Elephas maximus indicus: one gene and its partners. The protein of the gene in region 2 binds, or shares a complex with, the protein of the main gene of each other region. Links are inferred from orthologs where the notes say so. Each region holds a gene or a part of one and is shown on either strand. Other genes may lie near its edges. The genes, in order: ARPC4, ACTR2, ARPC3 and ARPC2.

Region 1 (7,730 bases), on a different chromosome or scaffold from region 2:
CGTGTAGAGACCCAGAGCCCTGAAGGCCCGTGTGAGCCTGGAGCCAGGGCAAGGTGCTTGGGGAGGTGGTGAACGCAGCCACAGAGAAGGGTGTAGCTGAGGAACAAAGATTGGGGCTGGGGCTGGGCTGCCAAGGATGAGACACTTGGACTTCACCCTGTGGGTAGTGGGAGCCAGGGGAGGCCTGGCAGCAGGGCTGGGTCATGAGCACATCCCATCATGACAGGTGACCTATAGGAGCCCCCCCGCAACTTCTCTGTATTTTCCACGTTTTATTTAGCGAAACGTGCCTTATTCTCATCACAAAAAATAAACCCTTATACCTATACAAAGAAAAAAAAAGCCCCTGGAAGCCTAAAAGTAGGGATGGTGTTAGGAGGCTGTATGGGTAAAAGCTGATGAAGGCTTGAACCAAACAGAAGGGAAGAGGATGAGGGCACAAAGGAGGACTCCACTGATGTAGACACTGCAGGAGGTGGAGACCACTTGGGTGGGGCTGAGGGGAGGCGTGCACAAGGAAAAAGTCAAGGTCGAGCATGGAGTCTGGATGGGTTTAGGGACAGAGGCTGGGCAGGGCTGGACAAGGAAAGTGATACATGTCTTTGATGTCTGATCTCTGACGCGTCTCTCACGCACCCTTGCTCTCTACCATGTCTACTGAGGTCCAGGGCTGCTACCTTGTAATGTTCAGCCTCATCTTCTGGGGGTTTCAGTAGCTCCTCTAGCGTGCGCACCTCCTCACTGGTGATATCTGCACAGTAGGGCTCCACTGAAGCCCAGAACCTGCGGAGAAAAGCAGATCCTGAATGGGCACTTCCTGCCCTATCAGCCTCAGCCCTGGACCCCTCCACTCCCAGAATCCTGAGGTCCCGTCTATGTCCTCCGGTCCAGAACCTGTTCGGGGCGTCATTCTTGGGGATCCGTGGCACGTCGATGGGGTCATCAGTGAATTCATATTCCTGGATCTTGGGCTGAAGATTTTTTGATTTGGGCCGCCCAGGGCCAGGGCCTGGCCCATGTCCCACCTTCCCTTCCAGTTTCTGCTTCTTGGGCTTTCCATGTTTGGGAGGAGCGCCAAGTTCATGGTCTCGACCTAGCTTCGGGAATCGTCGATCACCTTTCTTATCCTGCCAGTCTGTGAGGATCTGAAATTCACAGAGACTTATCACTCAGGGGGAGATGGAAAGACAAAGGACATTTTCCCTAATAAATAAACTAGGATCTAGAAACCAATAAGGCTTCCAAGTCTTTCCACCATCCTCCTACTCATCCTTCACGATCCAATTTCATTTCTCTGCCCTTGTCTCACAGGACTTTATTCACATACTTATTGTTCCATTCACTTGTTTAGCTCTATTCTGACTCCTCTCTGCCTCACCCAAGCAAGGCACATCATGTTTAGTAAAGGAGTCAAATAAATGTTCACGTCCCAGGACATGTTAACCCTGGGGAAGTATTCTGGTGGTAACTTTTTGGCGAAGGCAAGCAAGTCTCCCAGCAACCTTTTATTTCAAACGTCACCACAGCTGGGAAGTGTTCATCATACCAGTCACTCAACTTCTTAGATGATCAAATATAACTCTGTGCCACAGCCCTGCTCAAAATCTATCATGGATTCCCAAGGGCCACAAGTTACATCTATATATCCTGTGAGGCCCAGTGGAAATGGCATCCCCCTCCTTTGTGAGACTGGTGCTTCAGACCTCCACTGCAGACCCAAACATGTTGCTTGGTCATACTGGAATATGGCACACCCTCTCACTTCAGCTAGATTATAAACTACTAGAGACTGGAAGCTCATCTTCACTATCTCCATTGCCCAGGATCTGGCATGGTGCCTGGGACATAGGACTTGAGAGACATTTATATAGTGAATAAAAATAATCAAAGTAGAGTCAATAAATAACACTTGAAATGCTTCCTAAGTGTTAGACATAGAGCTGAGTCCTTGCAAGAATTCTTTTTATCCTCACTAAAAAAAAAAAAATTTTTTTTTTTTTTTTTAATGCTCTTAGGTAGGTCCTGTTACTGAGCCCATTTTGCAGACGGGGAAATGGATGCTCAGCAGAAACGTGAGGTAACTTTTTGAAGGTCACATAACTAGGAAGCAACAACAGTAGCAAGAGCTCAGTCCAGGATTCAAATCCAGATCTCCCTGCTCCGGTTCTCCTAGTATCCCTAACTACAACACGTTATCTGGTACGTGTCTGACCTCCCCCACCCTTTAACTGGCGAGTTGCCTGAGGACCAGAATTGTCTTAATTACTCCTTTAATTATTAGCACATGACTCAAAACGAGAAAAAAACTCATTGCCCTGGAGTGGATTCCCTCTCACAGGGACCCTACAGGACCAAGTAAAACTGTCCCTTAGGGTTGCCAAGGCTGTAAATCTTTAGGGAAGCAGATTGCCACATCTTTCTCCCTAGGAGTGGCTGGTGGGCTCGACCTGCTGATCTTTCAGTTAGCAACCGAGTGCTTTAACCACAGCACTACAAGGGCTCCTTCAGCTCATAATGGGGGGTAAATAAATGCTTAAACAAAAAACCAAACCCATTACCACCGAGTCGATTTTGACTCATAGCAACCCTATAGGACAGAGTAGAACTGCCTCGTAGACTTTCCAAGAAGTGTCTGGTAGATTCGAACTGCCAACTCCTTGGTTAGCAGCCGTAGCACTTAACCACTATGCCACCAGAGTTTCCAATAAATGCTTAGTGAATTATAAATCTTGCAAGTTATGAGGATCACGCACAATCTTGCAGATACAATACGCATGAATGTGCATGATCTTCATAAACTGCAAAACCTGTAATTCACTAAGCTTTTACCTTACCCCCACGTCCCATCCTTCTACCTCCCAACCCCCAACGTGCTGGGTCCTGTATTAGTCTACACACCCCCATAAGGCCCTGTACCCCAAGCCCCAGCAGGTGGAGCTAACTCAATGTCCCATCCTGCTATCTTGTCACAGTCCACCCCTGGCAATCCCCCCGCTCCATGACAAGGTCCAGCAGGTGGGGTATCACCTGGGTTTCTGCCTCCAGCACCCGTAGGCGCCGGCTCGCAGAGGAGAGCAGAGTCTCAAGCTCCAGCTGCAGGGTGTCCAGTTCCTCAATGCCAATGCCATCATCCTCGGAGCGGGCCAGCACTGCCGTGTAGCGGGGACAGACCTTCAGGTGGTCCACAGACTTGAAGTCATGGAACTGCAAGGGGCAGTCCTTCAGCTCACTCATGGCCCAGGATACGGAGCCCTGTGTAGCTGGAGAGTAAAGATTGACGAGGGACAAACTGTCACGAGAAAAGCCCAAGGGCTCCTTCCACTAGAGAGAGCTTCAACAAGGAAGTCAGATTTCAGTACCTTCTGACAATGCTGGTGGCTCAGCTCCTACTCACAGAGTACCCACTGTGTACCAAACTAGGTGCAGAGTACTTATAGGCTTATCTTGTGGAATTCATCACCCAACCCCAGGAGCAACAACCATTGTCATCTCTGTTCTACAGACAAGGAAACTGAGACTCTGTAAGGGTGGGCACAGGCCTAAGCTTACAGAAATGCAGTTTGAACCCAGGAAGTCTCATGTCTGTGGCCCTAATCACAACAATACAATGTACCCTGTTTTCCTGACACTGTTCCTTTTTGTCTCATCTCTCCTGGTTTCCAAGCATCTCATTTTTACAAAGTTTTCTGTGCTTCCCATGCTCTCCGTTGCCCACCTCCCCTTACCCAATTCTCTTTATCTATGTCCCTGATAGTGTCAGGAATGTGCGCTGGGTACCCAAGCAGCCCTGAGTTCAAGCTCAGCTTTTACCATTCTCTGCTTGTGGCCCTGAACATGTTATTTAATCTTTTTCCATCCGTAAAATGGGGACAAAAGAAGACAAGTCTATTTGTCTCTCTGAATCAGTTTCCCAGTCTGTAAAATGGGGATAACAACAGTACATACCTCCCTGGGATGTTCTGAGGATTAAGAGATGAGGCCCGTCAAGAGCTCAGCTCAGTGCCTGGCACAGAAAAAGTGGGACTGTTATAATGACTGGCTTCACCCATGGGTCGCCCCGTGCCCGCCCTCTAGGTACCCTCTAACGCGGCCCCCGCCCCCTCTACCTCCTCACTGCTGCCTCCTACGGCCCGGGGCCGCGGGAGGGGGAGAGGAGTTCCGGTCGGTGGGAGCAACCGCCCCGGAACTGGCGATGGGCGGGCCCCCTGCAGTTCGCCCGGGGGCGGGGAGACGGCTCGGGCAATCCCACTGTGGCTCCAAGAGGGGGTGCAGACCGCCAGCAAGGCCACTGCGGGTGGAATGGTACCCTTAGGGCGTACCCTAGAAAGCCTGGGGCTAGGGGCGGGGCTCAGCGGCCGGGATCTCGGCGCCAGGCGGCAGTTAGTCCCGGGGGCTGCAGGTAGGAGGAGCCGGGAGAAAGGATAGGGGCGCAGAACCGGAAGGAACGAAAGGATTCACCTCCTCACCCTGTCCTAATATGGTGCCCAACCTGAGACTGGGATGTACCATTGCATAACTATAGGAAGAGATTGTGGCTAAGGCGACAAGAAGGCCAAAGGCATAAGCGAGAACTATATGGATACCTGGAAAAGCTTGAGTTTCGATTTGCAACTTCCGTAGTCCAATACCATGATAGTTCTAGCGGGAAAACTTGCCAAGGATCTAAGTGTTCCTAGGATCCTCCTCCCCCCGCTCTGGAGCGGAGATAGTATCGTCCGGAAGTCCGGGCGGAGACTGCGGCTGCGCTTCTCGAGAAAGGGCAGGCGTCGCTGGGCCGGCCACTTCCGCACTTCCGCTTTCCGGCGCAGCCAGAGCCCGCGATGGTGAGAGAGCCGGGACCCGGGCCAGGGACCCCCGCCGTTCTGCTTCAGAGCTCTGGGTCTAGGGGAGACGCAGCTTTGCAGCAGAGGAGGCGCGGGGCCGAGGGATACCGGGGAGTGTGGGGGCGCGATGGGGCTGGGAGAAAGAGGGTGGGGCGGGGGCTGCTGTGAGGAGGAGGTGAGCGGTTGAGGGGGACGCCCTGGTAGGAAGCAGGCCTGTCGCTTCATGGTCCGGCTCCCGGAGCAGGTCGGGAATACTCGAGGCAGGGAGGAAGCCGGAAGTGGGACCTCCTAGGCCTGTGGAAGGCAGACACGTAGTAGGCCTCATAGCCCGTAGTAGGGCCGCTGAGGCATGTAGAAGGGCCAGCTCCCCACCCATAGTAGAACTGCAGTAAGTACACATAACTTTTCGTCTCCTAGCCAGTTGACCCCACCATTTCCCAAAGGAGGCGTTCACACTTCCTTATCCACTCTTCTTGGTACCCCAGCGCTGCTGCTACCCCACTGAAGGATCCGTTTGTGTTGCTTCCTCTCAGGCCCGGCCCTGGTCAGAACTGAACAGTGTCAGCCTTACTTTAGGATATGATACTGCTGATCCCTCCCTCCTTGGAGATCTTCCGTTTGATAAACGTGGTCGTTTCTGGGAGTTGTGACTTTGGCTCACTACCTTCCTCTCTTTACACTTCCTGGTGACACCTGTGTAGTCTCATGGCTTCAGTGACCTTGTGTATTTGGTGAGTCTTGAATCTGCCTCCCTTGCTCTGGCCTCTCTATCAAGGTTCTTTTGGAAATCTTGAACATACCTGGAAATCAGATCTCCAGATCAAAACTCATCTACCCTCCTAAACTTGCTTGATCTTCACCTGTGTTCTCTTTCCTAATTTTGTGTCCTCTCGGACCTCAGCTAGAACCTGCGAGGTTTTGTGTGTTTTTTTAACTCTTGTAATTGGCTCTTTTAAAGCAAGTTTATCGAGGTATTAGAAAAAAACTATGCCTATTTTATTAACGAAAGGGCAGGGGCGGGCCACCTAAAATTCACCGTTTTTAGGTTTAGATAGATAAGTAGCTGCTGTCGAATGGACTCCAACTCAAGGCAACCTAATGCAGAACAGAATGAAATGTTGCCTGGTCCTGCGTCGTCTTCACAATCATCTGCATGTTCAAGTCCATCATTGCAGTTCTTGTGCCAGTCCATCTCACTGAGGGTCTTGCTGGCCCTCTATTTCACGAAACGTGATGTTCTCTTTCAGCTGTTGATCATCCTGATGACATGTTGGACAGTGTTCTTTTGTGATTCATAAGGTTTTCATTGGCTAGTTTTTGGAAGTAAATCGCCAGGCCTTTCTTCCTGGTCTTCTTTAGTCTGGAAGTCCACTGAAACCTGTCTATCATGGGTGCCCCTTCTGGTATTTCAAATACCGATGCAGTAGTACAGCAAATTGACAGGTGGTGGCTTTTACCATGTGTGAATTTAGACAAACACAGGCATGTAACCACTACCACAGTCAACATTTAGAACATTTCTGTCATTCAAAAAAGTTTCCTTAAGCCCCTTTATAATGTCTTTTCCTTCCCCCCCACCTTAGGCAACTGCTGATTTTTTTTTTTTTGTATAGGTTTATTTCTTACGGAATGTCGTATAAATGGAGTTCTTTATTTTGTAGTCTTTTTAGTCTGGCTTCTTTCACTTCCCATAATACATTTGGAAGTCATTCATGTATAGTGTTCCATCATATGGGAGCACAGTTTTGGGCAGTTGTTTGATCCTCTTATGCTCTACATCTGTTAGTCTAATCTCTGTGATACCCTCTTTCTCCACTGCCCCAGGCCAGGCTCTCAACAGCACTTCTTAAATACCCCTTTCTGCGTTATGTCTCACTTCCCCCTCTAATCCATTCTCTGCAGAGCCACCATGCAGCTGCAGTCATGTAACTTCCTCCTCAGAAAGCCCCAACAGTCCTTACTGCCCCAAAAAAGCTGAACTCAGTAACTTGGCATTTGAAAATCTCCACGATCTTGCCACCTCTTTTACAGAATCAAATTCCCATATACAGCAACATTGTAGTCATTACCACTTCTGGAACTCTTAATACCCCTTTGTGTCATTCTAACTTTGCTGACGGTATTTCTGTCATTCATTCATTCTATAGAGAATGAGTAAGGCTCTTTGTGTTAGATACTGCTGACGTTATCGCTGTCATTCATTCACCCTACAGAGAATGAGTAAGGCTCTTTGTGTTAGGTAGTGAGCTAGATGCAGGATATATTGCTGTGAATAAACCAGACACGGTCTCTTCCCTCATGAGGCTTAGAGTTTGTGAAGGAAAAACTACAAAAGACAAGAAGAATGTGCCATCATGAATTGTAATAAATACTATAAAGGAGGAAAACCTGAGACATGAGATTGAATACAGTGGAGAGGCCTTTCTTGAATAAGCGGAGGTGGAAAGGTAGTTAGGCAAAGAGAAGAGAAATGTCTTATCAATAGATGGATCGGCATGTGGGAAGCCCTGGGGTGAGGAAAAACTTGGTTAATGTAAGGAACTGAAGATAGGCCAATGTACCTGGAAGGTCTACTGGGAACGTTCTTGTTCTATTTTTTGCTTTTAAATCCTGCTAATCCTATCTCTATCTTCAAATCAAACTCAGTTTCTTCTGCAGGTGGATTACTTATAAATCTAGTTATTTCACATTTCTTTGTATCATAGTCATTTACTTCGGTGTCTCCCCGACCAGGTTGAGAGAAATTTGAAGGTAGAGCTGGTCTCGATCATCTTGAATCCCCAGCACCTATTTCAGTGTGTAAGGAGCCCTGGCAGTGCGATGGTTAAGAGTTCAGCTGCTAACTGAACGGTTTGAACCCACCAGCCGCTCTGTGGGAGAGAAAAAACGTGGCAGTCTGCTTCCATA
Region 2 (7,016 bases):
TCCAAACGCAGAGTTTCCAGTTGTCCTCTCCCCATGGAGTTGTGGGCAGCATTCACTCCTCCTGGTAAAAATCTGTGACAATACACACAGAGTACTGCTAACCAGGGAAGCTCATCTGAGGCTTGGTGTCCAGAGTTTTTAATTGAGCTCCATCATATAAACATGAATGACTGCCCACATGAATGATCTCAGTCTTCAGTCCCTCAGGAGGTGGTGGAGGTTGAGGTAATACTATGTGACCCAAAGGCACCCCTGGAAATCACTTTGATGCTATCTAGCTGGTCCAAGGCCCCCAGGTGTACAAAGATGCTCCTATGAGGCACAACATTCCTAGGGCTAAGAGATTACCTCCCAGAAGAGAAGGCAAAGGCCAGACCTCTCTCTTTGGGCAAGGTTAAATTCTTTAGAACACAACTTGCTTCCAACTAACTTGGTTTAATACTGTTTGTTAATATAAATACTTATCTTCGCAACATAAATAAAAATAGCTTGGAAGAAGTTAGATAATTGACAATATAAAGAAGTACTTTTCTGTCATAAGTACAAGCCTTTTGGTTTACTGACTTATAAACCAAACAATTAAATAAATCACATAGATGGCCCCTTCCTGAGTTTTTCAGGTACAGAATAAGAGAGCTAGATTAGATAGCTACAGTAATACTATCAGGTTGTAAAATGAGTGAACATCTTTGGATGGAATTAAAATTCTGCCCAAAACATTCTGTTATGGATTGAATCATGCCTCCCATAATTTATGTTGAAGTCCTAACCCCTGGTACCTGTGAATGTGACCCTGTTTGGAAATAGGGTATTTGAAATATTATCAGTTAAATATCAGACCATACTGAAGTAGGGTGGGTCCTAATCCAATCTGAGTTTGGTCCTATAAAAGAGGAGGAGAGACAGAGACAGACAGAGGAAAGATGGCTATGTGATGACAGAGGCAGAGTTGGAGTTATGCTGCAGCTGCAAGTCAGTGATATCTGGGGCTACCAGAAGTCAGTAAAGACAAGGAGGAATATTCCCCCAAAAGACCTGGGAGACAGCATGGCCTGACCAACATGTTGATTTGGACTTCTAGCATCCAGAACTGTGAAACAGTAAATTTCTCTTATTAAAAGTCACCTAATTTGTGGTATTTGTTATAGCAGCCCTAGGAGACTAATACAGATTCTGGTTCCAGAAAGGGGGATGTTGCTGTAACAAATACTAAAAAAAGTAGGAGTGGCATTGGAATTGGGTGATGGGTAGAGGTTGGAAGAGTTTTGAGACGCCTGATAGTCAAAGTTCAGAGTGCCTTCAAGAGACCTCCGGTGCGGGCTCAGAAAGAAGTGTAAACTGCAGAGAAAGCTTCTATCATGAACAGAATGTACTAGAAATGTGGACGTTAAATATGCTTCTGGTGAGACCTTAAAAGGCAATAATGAACATTGTTAGACCTTGCTAGCCTTACTTTTTTAAAGGCCCCAACTCCCCCATTTGTAAAATGGGGATATCTACCTAGCAAGGTTTTTGTGCAGGAAAACAGAAGGCAATGAGGCCCCCAAAATTCAATAACCTAAAATGTGAGGTCGCATTAGTAAGAAGTCAGTGGAATGACTAGGATGTGCCTGTCTGGTGGGCAGGAGCCAGTCACCAATAGTGTTGTATCTGGATCTACATCATCAAGGGGTTTTGCTGCATTTTCCATACTGTACTCAACAGGTATTTGCTGACATTTTCTACATTCTGCATGACTTGTTTTTAAAATCAGAAGAAAGTAATAAATGTTATTTCTTAAGAAGTAAAAATTAGTAATCCATTTCATCCCATAAGAAGGAAAAGTAAAAGACCACAGAAACGTTTGAGATCAATTTGCTAAGACCAATTAAATGTACTTCCAGGAAAACTGCACTGTGCTAGGCACTGGGGCCATAAAAGTAAGATATGGACTCTACTGGAGAAATTTATGAACTAATGCAGTATTTTTCAAGGTGTTCAGAAGGCTGAAGTACCTCAACAGCTGTTGAAGCAGGTGAAGGGAGAGCATATTACCCTGAGGCCTCCTACCCTCTCCCACTTCTCGATCTTCCAACTGCAGCTATGGCAGCTTTGCTTTTTACCTATTTGATATGTTGGGGTTCCATAAGATAAATTTGAATAAAGGATTCTATGCCTTTAAAAGTTTGAAAATCATTGGTCTAATAAAAGAACAAGGAGCCCTGCTGGTGCAATGGTTATGTGCTTGGCTGCTAACCAAAAGGTTGGTAGTTTGAACCCACCCAGTGGCTCTGCAGGAGAAAGACCTGGCAATCTGCTCCTGTAAAGACCGTTGTTGTTCGTAGGTGACGCTGACTCGGTTCTGACTCATAGTGACCCCATAGGAAAGAGCAGAAATGCCCCATAGTGTTTCCAAGGACAGGCTGGTGCATTTGAACTGCCAACCTTTCTGGTTAGCAGCCAAGCTCTTAACCACTACACCACCAGGGCTTCAAGCCTAGGAAACCCTATAGAGCTGTTGTACTCTGTCATATAGGGTCGCTAGGACAGCACCCGACAACAACAAATGAAAGAACTAAGTGAAAACAGGAGGCAGACTGGTATTATAGAAAGAATACTGTCTGGGGCTTCAGGATCCAAGTTCTACTCTAGTTGTACATGCTGTGCAGCCACGTAGAAGGTACAATTCTAGTTATCACATCTCTAAAATGTCATTTTCCTAGATAAACGTTAATGTCACTCATTCAATAAATACTTGTCCAGTGTAATAAGGTTACAACGAGGTTATTCATATATCCGTGCTAAAGTAATAGCAAAGAAAGGGAGTAAAGAGCATGTGGAGGATATCTTGATGTGATAAGTTGGGCCAAACCCACTGCTGTGGAGAAGATTCTCTCACAGTCACCCTGCAGGACAGAGTAGAACTGCCCCATAGCTTTTCCGAGGCTGTAAATCTTTATGGACTGCCACATTCTCCTCTGGAGTGGCTCGTGGGTTTTGAACCGCCGATCTTTCAGTTAGCAGCCGAACGCTTTTAACCACTGTGCCACCAGGGCTCCTCGAGAAGTTTCTCAGCTGATTAAAAAGAGAAAAAAAGTGGGGGCATTACAGATAGAGAGAACTGCACTGTTGAAAAGTATGGAATTAATAAACAGCTACCACTGAATGAATGCTTAGTCCATGCACAGAATTTTGTCCTCACAACAACCCGTGGAAGATGTCATCCCCACGCACAAACAAGGGTACACGCAAATCATAGAAGTCTTCATTGGCAGGGGCTGATTTGAAACTGGGGCTGTCTGATTCCAAAGCCAAGGCTCTGGTTCAAACATGTACATGTACCGCGCAGGTGTGAAGTAGCACGGGTGCTGCTGAGAGACGGAAGTGGTGAGCGAGGAGGCTGGAAACGTAGGCACTCGCTCTCGCTCTCTTTACTGTGGAGCAACTTGGGCAAAGGACGATTGGGCTGGAAATGGAGATATCAGTATAAATCCATGATTTCGAATAAATACGTGTGTGTATCTATCCCAGCTCTGTCTACTGAGAAGGCCTCGACTGGAAGCAATGACACACCAGGCCACGTTCAATGACGGGGTCTGCAAGGACTTCGGGTTTGCTCCCCGCCCTCCCAGCTGGCTTCTCTGCCACCTTCCATCGCCACCTCGCGGCACACCTGGTGCCCTTCACCTGCCTCCGCCTTCTGCATCGTGCAGCAGCACCCTCAGCTCCTGCGACGCCTTCGGGAGAAGGCCACAGACCCACCAGGTCGGCCGCCATTAACGCCCCAGAAACACCAGGAACCGGGCGCAGAAAGGAAGAACCTGTGTGGGCGGTGCCCGTGGCAGCGGCGCTGAAGCCCAGAGGGGTGGGCGGGGCCTTCGGCTCCTCCGTTTCTCATTGGAGTTTGTCCCTGCCAGTCGCGGCCTCCGCCCCACCTCCTCCGAGCCGGCCGTCCGGTAAAAGGCGGGCGGGGCGGGGCGAGGCGGGGCGGGGCGGCGACTTCCGGTTGGGGAAGAAAGTTGGGCCGAGGGAGGGGCCGCGAAGAGGAAGGAGAAGGAAGAGGAAAGGCCGGGCGGCGGTGTCTGTAGGTTGTGCGGCGACGGCGGCTCTCCCCCGGGCGGACGATGGACAGCCAAGGCAGGAAGGTGGTGGTGTGCGACAACGGCACTGGGGTAAGCAGCCGGCGGGGGAGGCGGTGGCGGGCACAGGCCCCGGAGGATGTGCGGGGGGCGCGGGGGCCCTTAGTGCCCGGGGCTCGCCTCTGGGCCCGGCCCGCCGGGGCGAAGGGGGAGCGGCCCGACGCTTCCCGCCTTCGCGGACTCGGGGAGCAGGCGGGCCAAACCCTCGGCCCCCGGAGCCCGCCACCCCTGCAGCCGGCCACCCCCGCAGCCCTCCCTGTCAGGGCTGCGGGCGAGGTCGGCGGCGGACGGGAACCCTACCTGCTGGCCCGGCGGGGGCCGGCTACGTGCACGCGCGGGGGCAATGTGGCCAAGATGCCCGGAGGGGTGAAAGGCAGGGTTTGTGGGATTCAAGATGGGTTCATCCCCAGGGTCGCCAGTGTGCAAAAAGGAGGAAGACCAAGAGGCCTTCCTCTTCCTGTATAGTTGAAGATACTGAACGGGAGGCAGGAAACGGGTTTAAAGAAAAAAAAAAAGGAAGTGCTGTCTGTCGTGCGCGCAGTGGGCCTCACCCCTTCGCAGTGAGGTTTTTTTTTTTTTTTTGAGGAGGGGGAGGCTCGTCTTTTTACTTTTTTCTGTATGTTGGTAATTTGGCCCCTTTGCAGTCCGGCGGAGACCACGTGCTCCATAGGATTATCCTGGGACATCTAAGACCCCACAAGGCCGCAGTGTTCATTCCACTGTCCTTGGGGGGATGGGAGTTAGTCAGTTTTGGTCTTCTGCCCCTTTTTTCCTTAGGTGCAGAATACAGATTTAGTCTTTAAGATCCTAAAATGCAAGCAATTGTAAAAATCCGACGAGAGCACTGATTTAGAAACTATTTGAAAGTTATTTCTTTCAAACGCCCTCCTATAATTAAAAAAAATGTATTTTGGGCAGCGGAGTCAATCAGCAAATTAGAAGATGGAAAGGTTACTTACTTTGGACGGGTGCTATACTGGTCATTTTCCCCTAGGTTACAGTGATTTCTAACCGTTTTGTAGTTGCAACGTTTTGTGACATATGAATTAAAATAGATTTTACTTATACTTTAAAATAAACACTTTGGAAACTGGATTGTTCAGGGTGAAAAATACCTGGTACTCACTTCCATACTACTGCCCTTGATTGAATTTGTTACGGATTTTTTTTTTTTTTTTTACAAGCAATAATTATACTAGTTTCATCTGAACCAAGTTACAAATTGACGAGAGTAAAAAGTTACCATATAACGGGACATCAATGCAAAATGGAGTACTTAAAAAAACGGCAGACCCACTGCTGTGGAAACATGTCTGAGATGTATCCTGAAGTTTTTTTAAAAAAAAGCTTTAGAATGATTCCATGTAATGTGTGCGTTCTTTATTAAAGATACTCATACGTCCACACACTGGTATCTATATTTAAAATTTTTGGAGGAATGCATAAGAAATGCCCATAGTGGTTGCCTCTGAGACAGGATAAGAGTAAGGGAAGTGGGGAAGAGGACAATTTTTTTTTACTATAAGCATGTATTACTTTTACAGTTAACTCAGTTAAAGGTGCTTTTTAAAAAAAGTAGTCTGATTTCCACTAGTCTCAAGCTGACCTCTAAATAAATTTAAAACTTTAAATTGAACTGAAATACTTTATTGTGTGAATAGGTCTGATATTCTCTTTAGAAATCTGAGCAACTTGTATTTTAATGGAGTTTCTCATCCTTGGGGGATTCTAGGCAACGAACCCTGTATTTGTAGTCTGTATTAGTGTTCTCATACTCTATTAGAATATGAATGTTAACTGTAAGGTGGCTCGTTTTTATCTTACTATTTTGTCAGTTTTGCTGATATTAGAAAGCCGATTGCATATATGTCATGGATTTGTTTTGTATCCATAATTTAAAATTCTAGTTTTTTAAGACAAAAGATCAGTTATGACATAAATGAGAAAAATGTAGTTAATTCAAATAAGAATGTATGTATTTGGTGTTGAGTTAAGGTTATTTTTGAAATTCATTCAGATTTTTTGTAGATAAACGCTTGGCTTAAAATGAAGAAACAGCTCTGGTAATATGTAATCAGGAATGCTGTGATATTTCTAAAAATTTGGAGGGTTAAGGACCACTTAGATTCTGTATTCTGTTTCTTACTGCTTATGCTTCTAGACTTGAATAGTCATCTTGATCTTATTTTATGTGCCTGAAGTCATAGTGTTTCCTTTACAATTACATATTAAAGAAGATATTCAGATTTAATTTCTAAAAATTATTTTTAAAAAAAAGCTACTACCCTGAATTATTGTCATTTGCCCTTTACACACTTGAGGTTTTAAAATTCTAATCTATTTGAGAAGTTGATGATTTTTTTAACCCATCTCACAGGCCCAAAATTGGATGCTCTTAGGAGTGGATGGGTTTTTATGATCACGTACCAGACACTGGTCCTGCTCCATTTCCTCACCAGCCCCCAACTAGACCACTGTTTCATTAGGGTGAGCTGTAGGAGGAATACTTAAAATTTATGTGCTTTGGCCTTATAACTGTTCAAACCTGTCGGCTAGAACAGAGCCCTTGAAAACAGACAGACAGACAAAACTCTGGAGACCTGTGGGGCTCTAGGTTTAGGTGCCTTTGAAGAGTTGGGCCCTAGAGTTGTGTGTATCCTGTTACCAAACTTGGATGGTTTCATCAGTAGTGAGTGAGTTCACCAACAACAGTGAAGACTTCCTGGGTGCCTACTGTGTGTGTTATGGCACAATGCATAAGATCTGGTGATACAAAGTAGTGTATGCTAGAATAATTATATTTTCATTTTTAATACACATTTGTGGTTGATAAAAAAAAAAGCCCCCAATGCTGTTGAGTCGATTCCGACTCATAGCGACCCTGTAGGACAGAGTAGA
Region 3 (7,472 bases), on a different chromosome or scaffold from region 2:
ATATGTCTAGTATTCCAGGCCATATGGGGATCTTAGAATTGTTCATGCCCTTTTGAAATTTCCCTTAGTTGGGGAAATCAGATAAATACCCATGAAGCAGCAAGTGTCCAGTTAAGTAATAAGCTAACAGTGTTCTAGTAGGTCAGAGGTCAGAAAAATCAATAATGATTTGCTGATGTTCCCTTTCCAGCTGTCTCCTTTGCCTCTCCCCTCCCCCTCCCACATTTGTAATTGGAAATACAAAAGGTTATAGAGCTCAAATGTAGGTTGAAAATGATGTATCTTGCACAGCTTCAGAGTGGATCTTTCTGAACTCCCCAACTTGCAGATCGATGACTACAGCATGGTGCGGTTCTTACCTTACGACCAGTCAGATGAAGAAAGCATGAACGTTGTATTACAGCATATTGATTTTGCCATTCAGTATGGAGAAGACTTGGAATTTAAAGAACCAAAGGTAATTTCCAAGCTTGGGCTGTTGGATGGCTTTTGGTGGCAATGGTTCCTGACACTCACTGGCCTCCTGCAAAACTCAGGCAACTCAGATTAATTTTTGTCTGAGAGGTGGCGGTGCCCCGGGCTTTCCTAGGTGAGCTCTGAAATTCACACCTGTGCTCAGCAGTCAGATCAGCTTTATTCCCCCTTTTGTTGAGACAACACGATTCAGCTAAGTCTCCTTGTAATCGGAGCTTGGGGGGTTTTGCAAAGACAAGAAGCTATGCTGTTGAGCTTGGGCTGCCCTCTCATACATCAGTGGAAAGACTGATGGTAGTCAGGCTGTTACCTGAGAATCAGTGTGAGTGACTGTAAACTCAAGGGAGAACTGCTTCTAATGACAGATAAGCGCTTTAATTTACCACATACCTGGAAAAATCCTACCAATCATGCCTTTTGTTACTCTTGGCCGTTACCTGTAAGCAACACCCAGAGCTGCTGTTGGGTGTTAGCTCATTAGAGAGTATCAGTGGGAAAATATGTAGATACATACCAGGTCTACCTGAGAGGAAATGAAATGCGTGTTCTGTTTTGTTTCCCTTGGGTCAGGAACATGAAGAGGAGTCATCTTCTATGTTCGATGAATATTTTCGAGAACGCCAGAATGAGTGAAGATTTTACTGAAAATTAACTGTGTACACGTGAAGAGCTTCTGGCTGAACCCACAAGACATTCTTCTCTTTAGAGGATGCAGTAGTAGAAAGCTACGTACTCTAATGGAAAAAAATACTACCGTCATGTACCACGTAACATCCATTCGGGCAACATCCAACTGCATATATGTCCATGGTCATGTAAGATTGTTGTTGGGGTTTTTTTTGAAAGGGGAAGCTGCTCTCCTTTTGTTTGTTACTTTATTTGTTGTAATGGCTTTAAAGACCCCAAACCCCCAGAGTGAATGAGCAGTGGGGTTCCAGGGCGCATCCCAACCCCTGCAGCACCTCGTCTTCCGTCTCCTCCTCTCCTTCCTCTCCTCCTGGCTTCGTTTACCCGTCCAGCAGCTGTGCGTCCATTCACTCCAGGTACAGGGCAGTGCCTGCCACAGCTCCTGCCGCGGTGCTGGCGGGTGGCTGGCGGGGTCTGGAGTGCTTGCAGGCTCCTGGCTCCAGGTGGCTGCACGTGATCAGGAAGCGGCCTCACCAAAACAGCAGTGGCAGCCAGAGCCGCCACCACCAGTCATGCTCCGTGGCATCTACACACCCTGTCCCCACCCCGCACCTGAACGTGCTCAAAGTCCCAATCTGGCTGCTGGTACAGCCCCAGGCCAGCCCACAGCCACATACCTGGCAGGGCCGGCCTCCTGTATCCAGTGAATACAGTTTTCAGGCAAGTCTCGTGGGTAGGTGGCGGCAGAGGCTGCTGGGCCTGGGCTGCTACTGCTCAGGCGATGGAACAGTGGGCGGGCTGGGGCCCATAATCCAGGGCCTGTCTGTGTGTAATGCGGTGTTCACACAGCATCCAAGTCGCATAACAGCCTATTTCACAGAATGTATCATGGTTGTTAAGCAACACGTGACTGTAATTGGCTCTTTGTCCGCAGATGCCTGAATCATGTTCTGAGTTATTCTGCTGCTGTTTAAAGTGGAATCATTTGGTGGTGTTTTAATTCCATCAGTTTAGGTTTTAAAAGTTGAAAAGAGTGTACATAGATTTGTATATAACATAAATTAGCACCTGGACTACATTTAAGACCAGACTAACATTTTTACTGTTTGGTTTCATTTTTGAGGGTTTTGGGGGCAGCGAGAATTACTGTAACAAAATATACACATGTATATATGTCCAAATGAAGAAATCTATGTCCAAATGAAGAAATCTAGAAGGATATAGATAAGGCTTTGCTTCTCTGTATCTTCAGTTTTTCTGCATTGAGAATGTTTTATTTGTACATAGGTAGTCCCCGATTCTTAAAACATGCTGGAGTTAGGACAAACTATACTTGTGACAGTCTGGTTTTTTTGTGTGTCCTATCACATTTTTATCACTGGTACCATGTACTGCATACACTGTTGCAGTGTATAATTGGCTGGTGCTCTCATCCTCAGAAGTTCACTCGCAGATGTTCAAAGGTCAGATTTATAAAGATACTGACAATAAAAGACAATAATAATGAAAACTTAAAAAAAAAAAAAAGAGGTATTGGAGTTACATCAGAATTGACTTCCGATGGACTCGCCTTGAGTCAAGGACTACCTGTAGTTAAAAAATTTAAATAACTATTTAAAAATGTATGCACCCACACACACAAAAGAAACAAAAAGGTAGCACTAGCCCTTCATTACACTCTTGTTTTCCAGTCAGAATTTGGAGCAGTCAGGGCACATTTTTGAATGAGTAGGTTTCACCCTTTTGTCAAAATGCAGGCAGTGATTTTTCTTTTTTTAAACAAAGTTTGTAGCCTGAGCATTTAAAATTTTGTACTTGCCTTGAATAATAACAAATACTAAAATTTTGAAAGATGTAACTTTTTTCTTTTTAATTCTTGCTACACTGAATTATGTAGACCCCTTCGAAAAGCTGCTGTTAGGGATTGAATTGTGTCCCCCAAAGAGCTAGCTAGCTTGAAGTTCTAAGCCCTGGTACCTTTGTCACTTGGAAATAGGGTCTTTGAAGACGTTATGAATTAATATGAGGGCATCCTGGAGTAGGGTGGGCCCTAATCCAATATGAGTGATGTCCTTACAAAAGAGAAGAGACAGACACAGGGCAGAATGCCATGTGGTCATGGATGCAGAAATCGGACTTGTGCTACAGTTGTAAGCAGAATGCTAGGGGCTACCAGAAACTGGGAGAGACAAAGGATCTTCCCCTGGAACCTTCGAACAGAGTGTGGTGCTGCTGACACCCTGAATTCCAATTTATAACCTCCAGAACTGTGAGGGAATAAATTGTTGATTCTGAGCCACTCACTTTGTGATACTTTGTTACAGCAGCACTAGAAGTCTAATAAGGCGCAGTTTGGCCAGAGACCTAGATGAGAAGTCAGCTGTAGGAACATGTGGCAAGTAGAGTGTTCCAGTTTGAAAGGCTGCCAGAAGAAAAGGCTCCAAGGCAGGAAGGAACTTGGCTTACGTGAGGTCCTTTCTAGGAAAGGACTAAAAACTACTGCACTATTCATATGTTCCAGCCATGCAAGTTCAAAGTATTTTGCATGTAATTCATTTAATTGTCAGAAAGCACGGTAGGTACTGTTATTTCCATTTTCAGTTGAGGAAATTGAGGCACAAAGAGGTTAAACCAAACCAAAGGTGTTGCGGTCACATTGATTCTGACTCAGTGACTCCTATAGGACAGAGTTGAGGTGCCGTGTAGGGTTTCCAAGGAGCAGCTGGTGGATTAGAACTGTCAACCTTTTGGTTAGGAGCCAAGCTCTTAAGCAGTGCACCACCGGAGCTCCATAAAAAGAGGCAGCGTGCCCACAGTTATGCAGCTAGTACATGTTAGAGCTGGAATTCAGACTCGGTGCACACTCAAGCTTGAAAGAATAAATGCGTGATTCCCTTCACTTGTTCTCCAGTTTCCTCATTTTTAAGAGTTCGGCTCATTCATTCAGCACATATTTATAGATGTTTACTATATACCATCAGTATTATGGGCCTGGGGAATAAGCAGGGAACCGAAGGGGCAAACCTCCTTCCTGACGCTTCCGTGGTGGGGTGGCACAAACATCGAATGTAAACTAAATAATAGAATATACGAGGAGTATTTTTTTTTATGAGAAAAGGTGGGAAAGAAGGACAGGTAAGGCGGGGTTGGACTGGGATTGAATTTAAAATAGGGCGGCCGGGGGAGGTTTCACTGAAAAGATGGTATTTGAGCAAAAACAGCAGGTCATTGATCACCGAGATCCTGTAACCTTAAGACCCAACTACCTTTCGTGCGCGCCTTATGCACGCACAACGGAGTCCCTGTCTAGTGCTCGGGCGCCCCCTGGCGTCCCTTCGGCTCCCCGCAGCCGCAACAGCCATCTGCGGGACAGAACGCCGGAAGCGCCTCGCCCTCCCCTTCCGGCTCACTTCCGCCTACCCCGCCCGGGCAGCCAGGCCGGAAGCGCGGCGCTCCAGCAGATAGTGCACAGTTGGGTCCAAACTCGGGCGCCGCGAAGATGCCGGTGAGGGGCCGGGCCAGGGGTGTGGGGAGACGGCGGGGGTTGGGGGGAGCGGTGAGCGGTCTTGTGCGCGCAGAGAGGAGCGGGCCGAGGAGGGCGGAGAGGAAGCGGGGGCCTGGGGGAGAGCGGAGGCGAGGAGTGGAGGCCTCGGTGCCGGCTTCGGGGCGGCCGGGGTGTGGGATGCGGGAGCCAGGAGGAGTGGGCCAGAGTCCCGGGCGTGCGGGGAGGCCGCCCCAGCACTTCCCGCCCCTTCGCTCCAATCCTGACCCCCTTCTCGCCCCTTCGGCTCTGCCCCCAAGCCCGGCAGAGTCCCTAAAGGCTCGCTGGAGCCGTAGCCAAGGGCTGGGCTTTTTACTTTTCGTTTTTTCAAGTCCAGGGACCGGCTTCTCCTTTTTCCTTGTCAGGCCCACTTCCTCCTCGGCCTGGGGGCGGTCCCTCTCGCTGCCTGTCATCTTTCAGACCCCACTTCCCGGACTCCTCCCTTGTCGCCTCGGCAGTGGCGTCCACCCCCCAGAACCCGCTCAAGGCCGGCGCCTGATTTACAAATGCTTCCGTTTTCCTGAGCTTCGAAATGGGAGTAAAAATTGATGAAGGTCTGGTTGTCCTTCATTTCTGACAGCCAGGCTACGGGGTTAAATTTATCGCCGTCATGATCGTCACTTTGCAGATAGGAAAGAAGAGGCTCAGTAACGTGTTTATTCATACAGCAAACATTATTGAGTACTTACTGCATGCTGAGCGCTCTTACAGTAGTAAGTCCAACAAACTCCTATTCTACTGAGGAGACGGTGAACGTGTAAACAGATAAAGGAGATCATTTTAGATAGTGACAAGTGCTGTGAAGGAAATAGGCAACAAGACGGTAACTGGTGAAGGGGAGGGCAGACAAAGTCTCTGTATTATGAGAAGGAGCAGGCCATAATTATAGCTATATATGTTATGAATCCTGTTTAGAAAACTCACAAAAACCGGTTACCAGTCGATTCTGTTCTGACTCATGGCGACCCCAGGTGTGTCAGAGTAGACCTGTGTTTCATAGCGTTTTCAATGACTGACTTTTCAGGACTAGTTCACCAGGCCTTTCTTCCTAGGGGCCTTTACGTGAACTCCAACCTCCAGCCCTTGTGTTAGCAGCGAGTGTGTTAACCGTTTGCACCACGCTGGAACTCCGGGAATCGTCTGGCTACCATTTATTGATCCCCGATGCGTGCGGGGCGTGCCCCCCTTTATTAGCTCCCAGAGTACCGTGGGCGTCGCCTGTGATTACTTATTTAACGTCTGTTTTCTCCATTAGCCTGAAAGCTCTCTCAGGGTGGGGACCAGACTGGTTTTGTATGCCACTGTATCACTATAGGGTTGCTGTGAGTCGGAATCGATTCAACAGCAGTGGGTTTGGTTTTTTTTTTTTTTTTTTTTTATCACCGTGCCTTGCACGTAGAACCAAAAAAAACTAAACCCATTGCCGACAAGTCGATGCCAACTCATAGCAACCCAATGGGACAGAGTAGAACTGCCCCCATAGAGTTTCCAAGGAGCGCCTGGTGGATTCAAACTGCCGACCATTCAGTCAGCAGCCGTAGCGCCACACTACTACACCACCAGGGTTTCCTGCATATAGAAGGTGCTTAGTAATTGTTCATGGAATGCATGAATGGGGCCCATGTTGTCTTACTTGTTAGAAGCAAAGCAAAGAATCAGCATGCTGACTGCTCTCAAAAATGTGGCTCTCTTTTTCTTCTTTTAACTCACCCCTACCCACTGAAGGGAAACCCTGGTGGCATAGTGGTTAAGTGCTACGGCTGCTAACCAAAGGGTTGGCAGTTCGAATCTGCCAGGCGCTCCTTGGAAACTCTATGGGGCAGTTCTACTCTGTCCTATAGGGTCACTATGAGTCAGAATCAACTCAACGGCACTGGGTTTGGTTTGGTTACCCACTGAACGTAGTATACCTCTTCTCGTTTTACAAATTGGGAAACAGACTAAGAGAAGAAATGTGACATCTTGGTGAATGACATAAAGCCTGGAAGTGGCAGAGCTGAAAAGCTAGTACTTGGATCCTGGCAAATATTGAACAAGCAGCGATGGGAGACTACCCCTAATTCATATAGTGTTTGCCAATTTCTGTGGTGTAGATACTCTTACCAGCCACCAGTGTGATGTCACTGAACATGGAATTGGGAGAAGATGCACAGTTGCACCCCAGTATATAGTATTTATACCACAAAGATACAAAAGATGTAACTGAGGGCATCAGCAATAATAAAATGTAATAATTAAGAAGTGATCAGTTTAGAGCTTTTTTAAAAACCTACAAAAACCTTTGTTTTAAATACAATTTATTTAATTGTAAGTTTATATAATTTAATTTTTAATAATGGCTGTGTTTAACAACCAGCTTGCAGTATTCCTCAAAATTGGCTCATGAGCTGGTAAGAGCCAGCTCCAGCATACCCCTGCTGCCTTCTTTTTCTCCCCTAGTTAATCTTGGATGGGGTCGCCTTTTTTTTTCGTCTGGTCTCATGACATTTGCACTCTTTCTGCTTCCATATTCTTACCTGGCTTGCCATTACAGGCCTACCACTCTTCTCTCATGGACCCTGACACCAAACTCATTGGAAACATGGCGCTGCTACCTATCAGAAGTCAGTTCAAAGGACCAGCCCCTCGAGAGAGTAAGTCTAAATGCTTTTCCATCCCTTTCAGATTTGGGCGTAGAATGCCTGGCAACCCTCTGACATTATCAGATCAAGGCAGTTCTCGTCTCAGTCCTATGTCTCACGTTGCTCCTATACTTCCTATCCCTTGGCGATGCTGTGTTCTAGGCCTTTCATGATCACTGTTAAATGTGTTGCATCTAGCAGGAAACTGT
Region 4 (7,160 bases), on a different chromosome or scaffold from region 2:
ACCACCTTTCAAACTCTCAGCATTTTTCTTTAAGGTCTTTCTCTATCTTCCACCCCAGCACATCTCACCCCTTAGCTTCTCTGTAACTTTGCCAACATGCTCTCTCAGAAAGGCCGGCTTCTTTTTTTCTTTTTTGCTCCTGCCTGGTGTTGAGTGCTGGTAAAAACCAAAGCCAAACCCACTGCCCTTGAGTCATTTCTGAATCATAGCGACCCTATAGTACCGAGCAGAACTGCCCCACAGGGTTTCTAAGGCTGTGATCTTTACGGAAGCAGGCTACCACATCTTTCTCCCGCAGAACGACTGGTGTGTTCAAACCTCCAATCTTTCGGTCAGCAGCCAAGTGCTTAACCACTCACTGTGCCACCAAGGCTCCTTTGAGTACCGGCAGAATCCCATATATGTTTATGATTCTCATAGCAGTCATCCTTTGTGGAAGTTCTGGTGTAGACATGCACTGTGATAAATATTTAACTGCTTCATCGGTGCCTTACCTTACTGGTATGCCTGGAAAAGCACACTTGGCTTGAAATTAGGCTTCTGCTTAGAGTACATCTGCAATCCCAGAAAAGCCCTACCTAGTAGGTCTGAATATTACGGTCTCTTTTCAAAGATTTCCCAAGAGCTTTTCAGCAGAATATGTTTTAAGCCCACTTATTTAAACTACTTTAAATAAGTGGGCATACAATAAAAGCGAAAGCTCAACACCCTCCCTCATATCCAACATCAATACAACACAAATCTTTTAACGAATGTCTTGGAAGTTCTAACTTACCCCTTCCTGACTTGAGGGCCTGCTTTAACCCCTCTGAAATGGTTAGCTGCTCTTTCTAAGAGTAATTTTCTAAAAGAAAACCAGCTGGAAGTTCTGAACAATGGGCCACATTTGGGAATCACAAGTTATTAATACACAAATAGATGTGAAGGTACTCCTGCATACAAGGCAGGCCTCTACTTGAAAATCCACAGGCGGATCTGCTTACAGCCACTCAGGTCTCATTCTTTGCTAGTCTGGACTTGAGAATGCATTAAGATCAGTTGTGAAAATGCAGAAGTTAGCTCAACTTCCTCCTATGTGCTACACTGCTCAAAAAAAGTACACAGCAATCACCCAAAAAAGACCCTAGGCTGATTCACTTGAATTATTTAAAGTGCAAAGGAAATGGCATGATAGACTGAAAAGAAGAAGCAAGTTAGCCTAAAATATAAGCGACTATCATCCCTGGCAAGAAACAGTACTGCTCACTGCATGTCATTACTTCAAGGAATAGTCCGTGCTTTGTTTTACAGATAAAATCTGTGGGCTTAAAAAATAGATAAGACTCATAAGACTCACAATACATTCAATTTAAGCAGTGAGTTAGAAGAGCTTTTTTTTTTTTTTAATTGCCTCCAAGCCACAAGTCCATTACGATTACTCAGAATGTCCCCTCCAGCAAGCCTCTCCCATCTGTGGATCTCTAAGCATTTACTTTCCTATTATTACTTCCCAGTTCATCATAGACACTTTGCATCCAGTTCCTCAACTGAAACTAAGATGTGAAGCCCCATCCTCACAGATGGGGAAATGAAGCAAAAGGACTGGCCACAGGCCACTAAAAATTAGAAGATAAAGCCAATTCCTTGGCCTCATATTTTAAATACTATATTAGAAACCCAAAGCAGCTCTGGGGGAGGGGGCTGTTTGTCTTCTACTGATGCTTGTGTTCAACTGAGAAGACTGCCTTAGAAAAATGTTCTAAGCCCATCTTTAAAAAGGCCAACAATGAAGGTTATCTAAGAACTTTACAGACCTAGGCGGCTCAGAAGTGTGTCACTGGGCCAAGACTATCACAGAAGAAATCACGGGCCAGGGGTCCTGCACCAAGAATTTCAAGATAACCAAATAATGGCTAATGGGTGGGGAAAGTAGCATTAGAACCTCAGAAGACAGATAAGGAATGGATGGATGTGGATGGAGGGACTGTCAACTCTGAGAAATATGTAACAAAATGGCCAGTTTCTTCTTACAGTAGGGTCCGGGGAAAGGGAAATTATAGAAATCGCGTTTTTCCGGTTGTACGGCTGGGTCTGATTGGGGAGATGGAATCGATGGGAAGGAAGCCAGTGCTTCCAGTCTTCCCTCTAGCTCCTTTAGGGAGGAGGTGGGGTGGAGAGCAAGAATGCAGGTGCTAATCTAGGCCTGTATCTTCTTCCCTCCTCCATTCCTGGGAATCCCTGAAAACTTCCAACCCAATCCCAAATGGGCTCTCTTCGGGTTCAGAACAATGACGGGAACAACAGAGGGAAGGGGTCCCCTCCTCGCTCCAGAGGGCAAAGGCATCCTCCAGTGAGTTCAGGCCCAAGCTGCCCTCATGCCCTACAGGTCTCCCTTTGGCACGCGCACTACTGTCCACTCACTGCTTCCGCATCCCTCCTCTGAGCCTCGCCCCACGCATCTCTCTCTGCCCCTCACCCCGCCGCGCCCACGTCTCCACCGCCAGGGCGGCCCCCACACCCTGCCAGGCCCCCCATCTCCCTCCTCCAGGTGTGGGGACCCTGGATGATACTGGGGATTGGCGGGGGTGAGCTCTGCCTCCGCTGCCACCCCTGGCCCCGGGCGCGCGCTCACCCGGCGGCCGCGTTCTCGAACTTCAGCGCGAGCGTCTCCTCGATGATGCGGTTGTTCACCTCCAGCAGGATCATGGCGGCGGCTGCCCCGGGCAGGGGAAGGAGAAACGAGGCGGGTGAGGATGGGTAAAGGAGGGAAGGACAGAGGGAGCGGCCCTGCTGCCCCTGACAAGGGGGCCTGGGTGGAGTAGTAAGTGAAGGGAAAAGGGGAGAGGGGCCGGGATGGGGGGGAAGGGAAGGACACGCGCGCTAGCCCGCGCACGCACACACTGTGGAGACACCCACCCACCCACCCGACCGACCTGGCCCCGGAAGCCTCAACCCGCCTGCCGAGCCGCCGCCGCCGCCTCACCAACAAGCCCGGTCCCCGCCCAGCCCCCGGCTCTAGCCGGTCACTTCCGCTCTCACACCCACTTCCGCTCGCCGCCCTACGCGCGGCCCCGCGGCGCCAATTCCGCTCCGACCCCTCGTGCACGCGCACGCAGGCACGCCTGCGGACCGAGGCCGCGCTTGCGCACTCGTGATGCCGTCGTCCCGCCTCCACTTTCCCACAGACCCCCTTACATCCAGCCCCTTCAAATATGTGGTTTACCCAGCTGTCATTCTCTGAGGCCTTCTTCACTGTCCGTCGCCTCCCTCCCGCTTGTCCCAGAGGTCCAGCTCTACCTTTCCGGTCTAGTCATTTTAGAGATCCCCGCATGAAGCTTCCCATTGTCATCTCCCAGTTCATCTCCCCTTTGCTCTTGGTGCCTGTTCGTTCTCGGTATCCCTTCCTCATCCGCGCTAATGGCTGCCTAGCTGCACCATTACCTTTTCGTTTCTCAACAAATATTTAGTGGGCTTCCTCTCTGTGCAGAGGATACAGCGGTGAAAAAAATAGACGCGGCCCTGCTCTCATGAAGCCTATGGTCTGGTAAAGGAAACAGACAACAAACAAGTAAACGCTGAAGTATATAACTTCAAACTGTTAAAAGGACAATAAAAGAAAGAAATGGGAAGTCACTGAGGTGAATATGCAACTTAGATGGACCTCCCTGGGTTCCTGTCACGCCTCCATTTTTGTGCCTGGGGGAGCAGCTTCCGGGCGCGGCTCTGAACGTAATCTCTTCTGCCTTGGAAACCTTCACGTTCCAGTACCTCTGCAAGAGACATACCGTCCACCTCATCTTCAGGCAGAATCTGAACTCACCTTTGTGGTACATCTGCACCTTCCGCCTGTGTGTCTTGTTTTGTATCTGCCGCCCCTCCCCCTCCCCACCCCAGGGAGACTAAGAGACTTAGATGAGTCCCTTCTACATGCAATACTTAATTTTCTGTTAAGTGTTCTGAGGGGAGGAGGGATCCAAGAAAAGGAACACAAAACTAACCCCTATCAACAAGGCCTAGACAGCCCTTTAGAAAAGATTTCTTATGGGCCATGGATAAGCTTCAGGAAATTGCAGATCCTACCAAATTATATGCTAACGTGTTAAAAATATTTATTGTATTAAAGTAACGCATATACCAAAAAAAAAAAAACCCACTGCTATCGAGTCCGACTCATAGCGACCCTGTAGGGCAGAGTAGAACTGCCCCATAGAGTTTCCAAGGAGCTCCTGGCGAATTCAAACTGCTGACCTTTTAGAACCTAAAAGCAGCCGTAGCACTTAACCACTATGGCACCAGGGTTTCCAACGCATACACACTTTAAAAATAACTAACGCGTTGTTGTCTGGTATATTCTGACTCATAGCAACCCTACAGGACGGAGTAGAACTAACTGCCCCATAGAGTTTCCAGGGAACGGCTGGTGGATTGGAACTGCCGACCTTTTGTCTAGCAGCCCAACTCTTAACCAGTGCGCCCCTTGCGTCAGAATTGACTCCACGACAACTTTTTTTTTTTTTTTTTTTGGTTTCTGATATTAAAAGCCTTTGGAATCGACTCGACGGCACTGGGTTTAATATTAAAAGACTTGCAGTGAGAAAAGCAGTTCCCTGGCCCGCTCTTCAGAGGCAATATCCTCTTATTCATCCTGCTATTTATCACCACATTTCTAAATAAATGCTTATACCACTATTTCTTGATTTGTTAATTCTGAGCATTATCTGATTTCCTGCCAAGGTAGGTGAGAATTTGTCTCCATCACTTCTCCTCCTCCCTACCCCCACATCCACACATACTGAAGAAACAATTTTTGGTTAAGTCAATAATCAATGTTTGTTATGTATGCAAATATTGATCATTGAGGAGCCAAGAAATGCACTGTATGCATGCCTTCTAGCTTACACAGCCTTTCAGTTTTTCCTAGGTTAATTATTGCCTTTTTACCCTTACTTGTCTGATTTTCTATATATTTATAGTTGGCTGTTTCCTCCCAAGTGCTCTAAGATTCTGCGTAAAAAAAAAAAAAAAAAAACCTACCAATAATATTTTCTGTATATTCAAAAATATAAATTTCATTTTTCTCTGAAGTCTTTGTCCCAGAACATTCCTTCCTCTTATTTCAATCTAGATTAATTGCTCTGTAGACTTGCTGCACAGCCGCCATTCTGGGATATTCCTTCATCGTGGTCTGGGTTGGTTTGGCTGGTTGCTCAGCTGATATTTAGACTCTGTAGGTCATGCTCTTGACCACTATGCAATACTAGTATACAGAAATGAACTGGATAGTTCTGTATTTGAGTTTGGAGTTTGATAAAATCAAGGTGTGAGAAACTGGATCTGTCAATATCCGTTTACAAAATAATGACAACTTCTTGACTGGACTGTCACCCTTCCGAACCCTGATGGCTTAAATAGGGAAAGCGATTCTTCAAGGATAGCCAGAAATCTGATGCTTTCAGTCTTAAAGATAGAGGCTGGAGCTCATCTTGGAGGGCTGTCTGGCTATTCTCTGTTTCGTCCTCCAGATCCACTCTTCACCCTTTTCCATCCCCACATCAGCTGGGCCCCCTTGCCCTTTGGCTTTTGGTTGGCCAATAGGGAGCCCCAGCAGGAAAAGAAAGAGATACAGAGACTCCCTCAGGCTGGCTATGTCCCTCAACCAAATGTCACTGCTCTACCTCAGTCAGAACCACTCTCTTCTTCCTTTCAGGTCCTGATAACTGACCCCTCCCCTCATCCTTTTGGGCCTAGGGGCAGTATTAGTTTGGCTGCTACTAGTCCTGGGTTACTGCACTGTCTTGTGATTCTCTTATACCCACATATTTTTAAACCCGAAAATACCCAGTATTTTTTAAATAGTCCTTTGTAAATACACCCTCCTTGAATTATCCTATCTTGAGTGTGCTCTGTGTTTCCTGTGGGGTCAAGACAAAATAAGGAGCAGATGGTTATTCTGGGAGGAATTGCTTTACAGAACCCTTACAGTCTTGCAGTTGTAAGTCAAGCCCTATCCTTAGGGTAGCTGAGCATAGATGGAATGATCCAAATGCTAACGTCTCAGACTCAAATGTTAAATATTCTCCTTAATAGTCTTAAAGACATTCCAACTCTCTTAAAAATGGCTTTTAGTGTGAGTTGTTTGGCAGTGTTCTCTAGAGTGCTGGGAGAGAGTGTTGTTGGGTGTAGTCCTGAGATTAGGGGAGAGGGGAAATGAGACAAAGGCCTTGGAGCCAAAGGAGATGCCATCGGAGACCTGGCCATCAGTCTTGGTCACTCTTTGGGCCTTTTTCTCTGTACCACTGGACTAATCTGCTGTTTGGCCACTAGACCAGGGATATCACCATCTGGTTCTTCTGTTGAAACTACTTGGTAACATGGGTAGAAGCTGGGCAATGGGAAACCATGGAAGGGTTTTGATCAGGGGAGTGGCATGATCAGCCCATTCTGGCCATCCTGTGAAAGATGTTTTGGAGACCAGGCAGGAATAACACGCAGCCTAGCCCCGTGACACCAGGGTATCAATCTATGAGGGACGTTAAAACATCAGTAAGTCAAACTGAATTCCTGTTAACTCAGGCTCCCACAAGAGACTGCTTATATACATAACGGATGAAAAATGTTACATTCTATTAGTTATCCATTGCTGCATCACAATTTACCCCCAGTTATGCTGCTGAAAACAACAAACATTCATTATCTCACAGTTTCTGTGGGTCAGGTATTTGGGAGTGGCTTAGCTGGATTTTTCTGGCTCGGGATCTCTCATGAAATTGCAGTCAAGATGTCAGTAGGGGCTGCGGTAATCCAAAGGCTTGACTGGGGCTAGAAGATCTGCTTCCAAGCTCACTCCTTGGCTGATGTCACTAAGTCTCAGTTCCTCTTCTTAGGTCATGGCAGCTGGCTTCCCTTGAGTGAATGATCCAGGAGTGAACAAGGCAGAAGCCACAGTGTTTTTATAAAATAGCCTGCCATCACTTCTGTTGTATTATCTTGGTCACACAGACCAGCCCTAATACAGTGTGGGAAAAGACTACACACAGGCATGAATACCAGGAGGAAGGGATCATTAGGGGTCATGTTGGAGGCTGGCTAAACTAGAACTCCTCAGGATTCTATCTTTGGATTGTTTCAGTTATCTCTTGCTGGGTAACAAGCTACCACCAAAAAATAATGGTTTTAAAACA

The links.
Region 1: the proteins of ACTR2 (region 2) and ARPC4 are in contact, whole or in part, in a cryo-EM structure (PDB 6YW6), measured with the Homo sapiens proteins. The link is inferred for Elephas maximus indicus from reciprocal best matches to the Homo sapiens genes ACTR2 and ARPC4. Residues at the interface, in NP_005713.1 of Homo sapiens: Tyr222, Val223, Tyr225, Gln229, Glu230, Lys232, Leu233, Ala234, Leu235, Glu236, Thr237, Thr238, Val239, Lys253, Thr308, Met309, Tyr310, Pro311, Gly312, Pro314, Ser315, Asp346; in NP_005709.1 of Homo sapiens: Val29, Val30, Glu31, Arg32, His33, Lys35, Pro36, Glu39, Val40, Ala98, Glu99, Asn100, Phe102, Ile103, Leu104, Arg105, Arg106, Lys107, Leu117, Thr119.
Region 3: ACTR2 (region 2) and ARPC3 share a complex: the UniProt entries of both Homo sapiens proteins name them as parts of the arp2/3 complex. The link is inferred for Elephas maximus indicus from reciprocal best matches to the Homo sapiens genes ACTR2 and ARPC3.
Region 4: ACTR2 (region 2) and ARPC2 share a complex: the UniProt entries of both Homo sapiens proteins name them as parts of the arp2/3 complex. The link is inferred for Elephas maximus indicus from reciprocal best matches to the Homo sapiens genes ACTR2 and ARPC2.

What each region holds. Positions count from the first base shown.
Region 1 is NC_064838.1:34,765,316-34,773,045, forward strand, and holds the start of ARPC4 (actin-related protein 2/3 complex subunit 4), read left to right. Parts: upstream 1-4,716; 5' UTR 4,717-4,820; coding exon 4,821-4,823; intron 4,824-7,730. Other genes in the region: TADA3 (transcriptional adapter 3), read right to left, coding at 678-783, 895-1,145, 3,028-3,234. UniProt on the Homo sapiens protein: Actin-binding component of the Arp2/3 complex, a multiprotein complex that mediates actin polymerization upon stimulation by nucleation-promoting factor (NPF).
Region 2 is NC_064835.1:71,461,549-71,468,564, reverse strand, and holds the start of ACTR2 (actin-related protein 2), read left to right. Parts: upstream 1-4,007; 5' UTR 4,008-4,103; coding exon 4,104-4,151; intron 4,152-7,016. UniProt on the Homo sapiens protein: ATP-binding component of the Arp2/3 complex, a multiprotein complex that mediates actin polymerization upon stimulation by nucleation-promoting factor (NPF).
Region 3 is NC_064840.1:9,035,969-9,043,440, reverse strand, and holds the start of ARPC3 (actin-related protein 2/3 complex subunit 3), read left to right. Parts: upstream 1-4,457; 5' UTR 4,458-4,600; coding exon 4,601-4,606; intron 4,607-7,175; coding exon 7,176-7,275; intron 7,276-7,472. Other genes in the region: GPN3 (GPN-loop GTPase 3), read left to right, coding at 329-457, 1,045-1,107. UniProt on the Homo sapiens protein: Component of the Arp2/3 complex, a multiprotein complex that mediates actin polymerization upon stimulation by nucleation-promoting factor (NPF).
Region 4 is NC_064824.1:116,784,057-116,791,216, reverse strand, and holds the start of ARPC2 (actin-related protein 2/3 complex subunit 2), read right to left. Parts: upstream 3,015-7,160; 5' UTR 2,913-3,014; intron 2,694-2,912; 5' UTR 2,686-2,693; coding exon 2,612-2,685; intron 1-2,611. UniProt on the Homo sapiens protein: Actin-binding component of the Arp2/3 complex, a multiprotein complex that mediates actin polymerization upon stimulation by nucleation-promoting factor (NPF).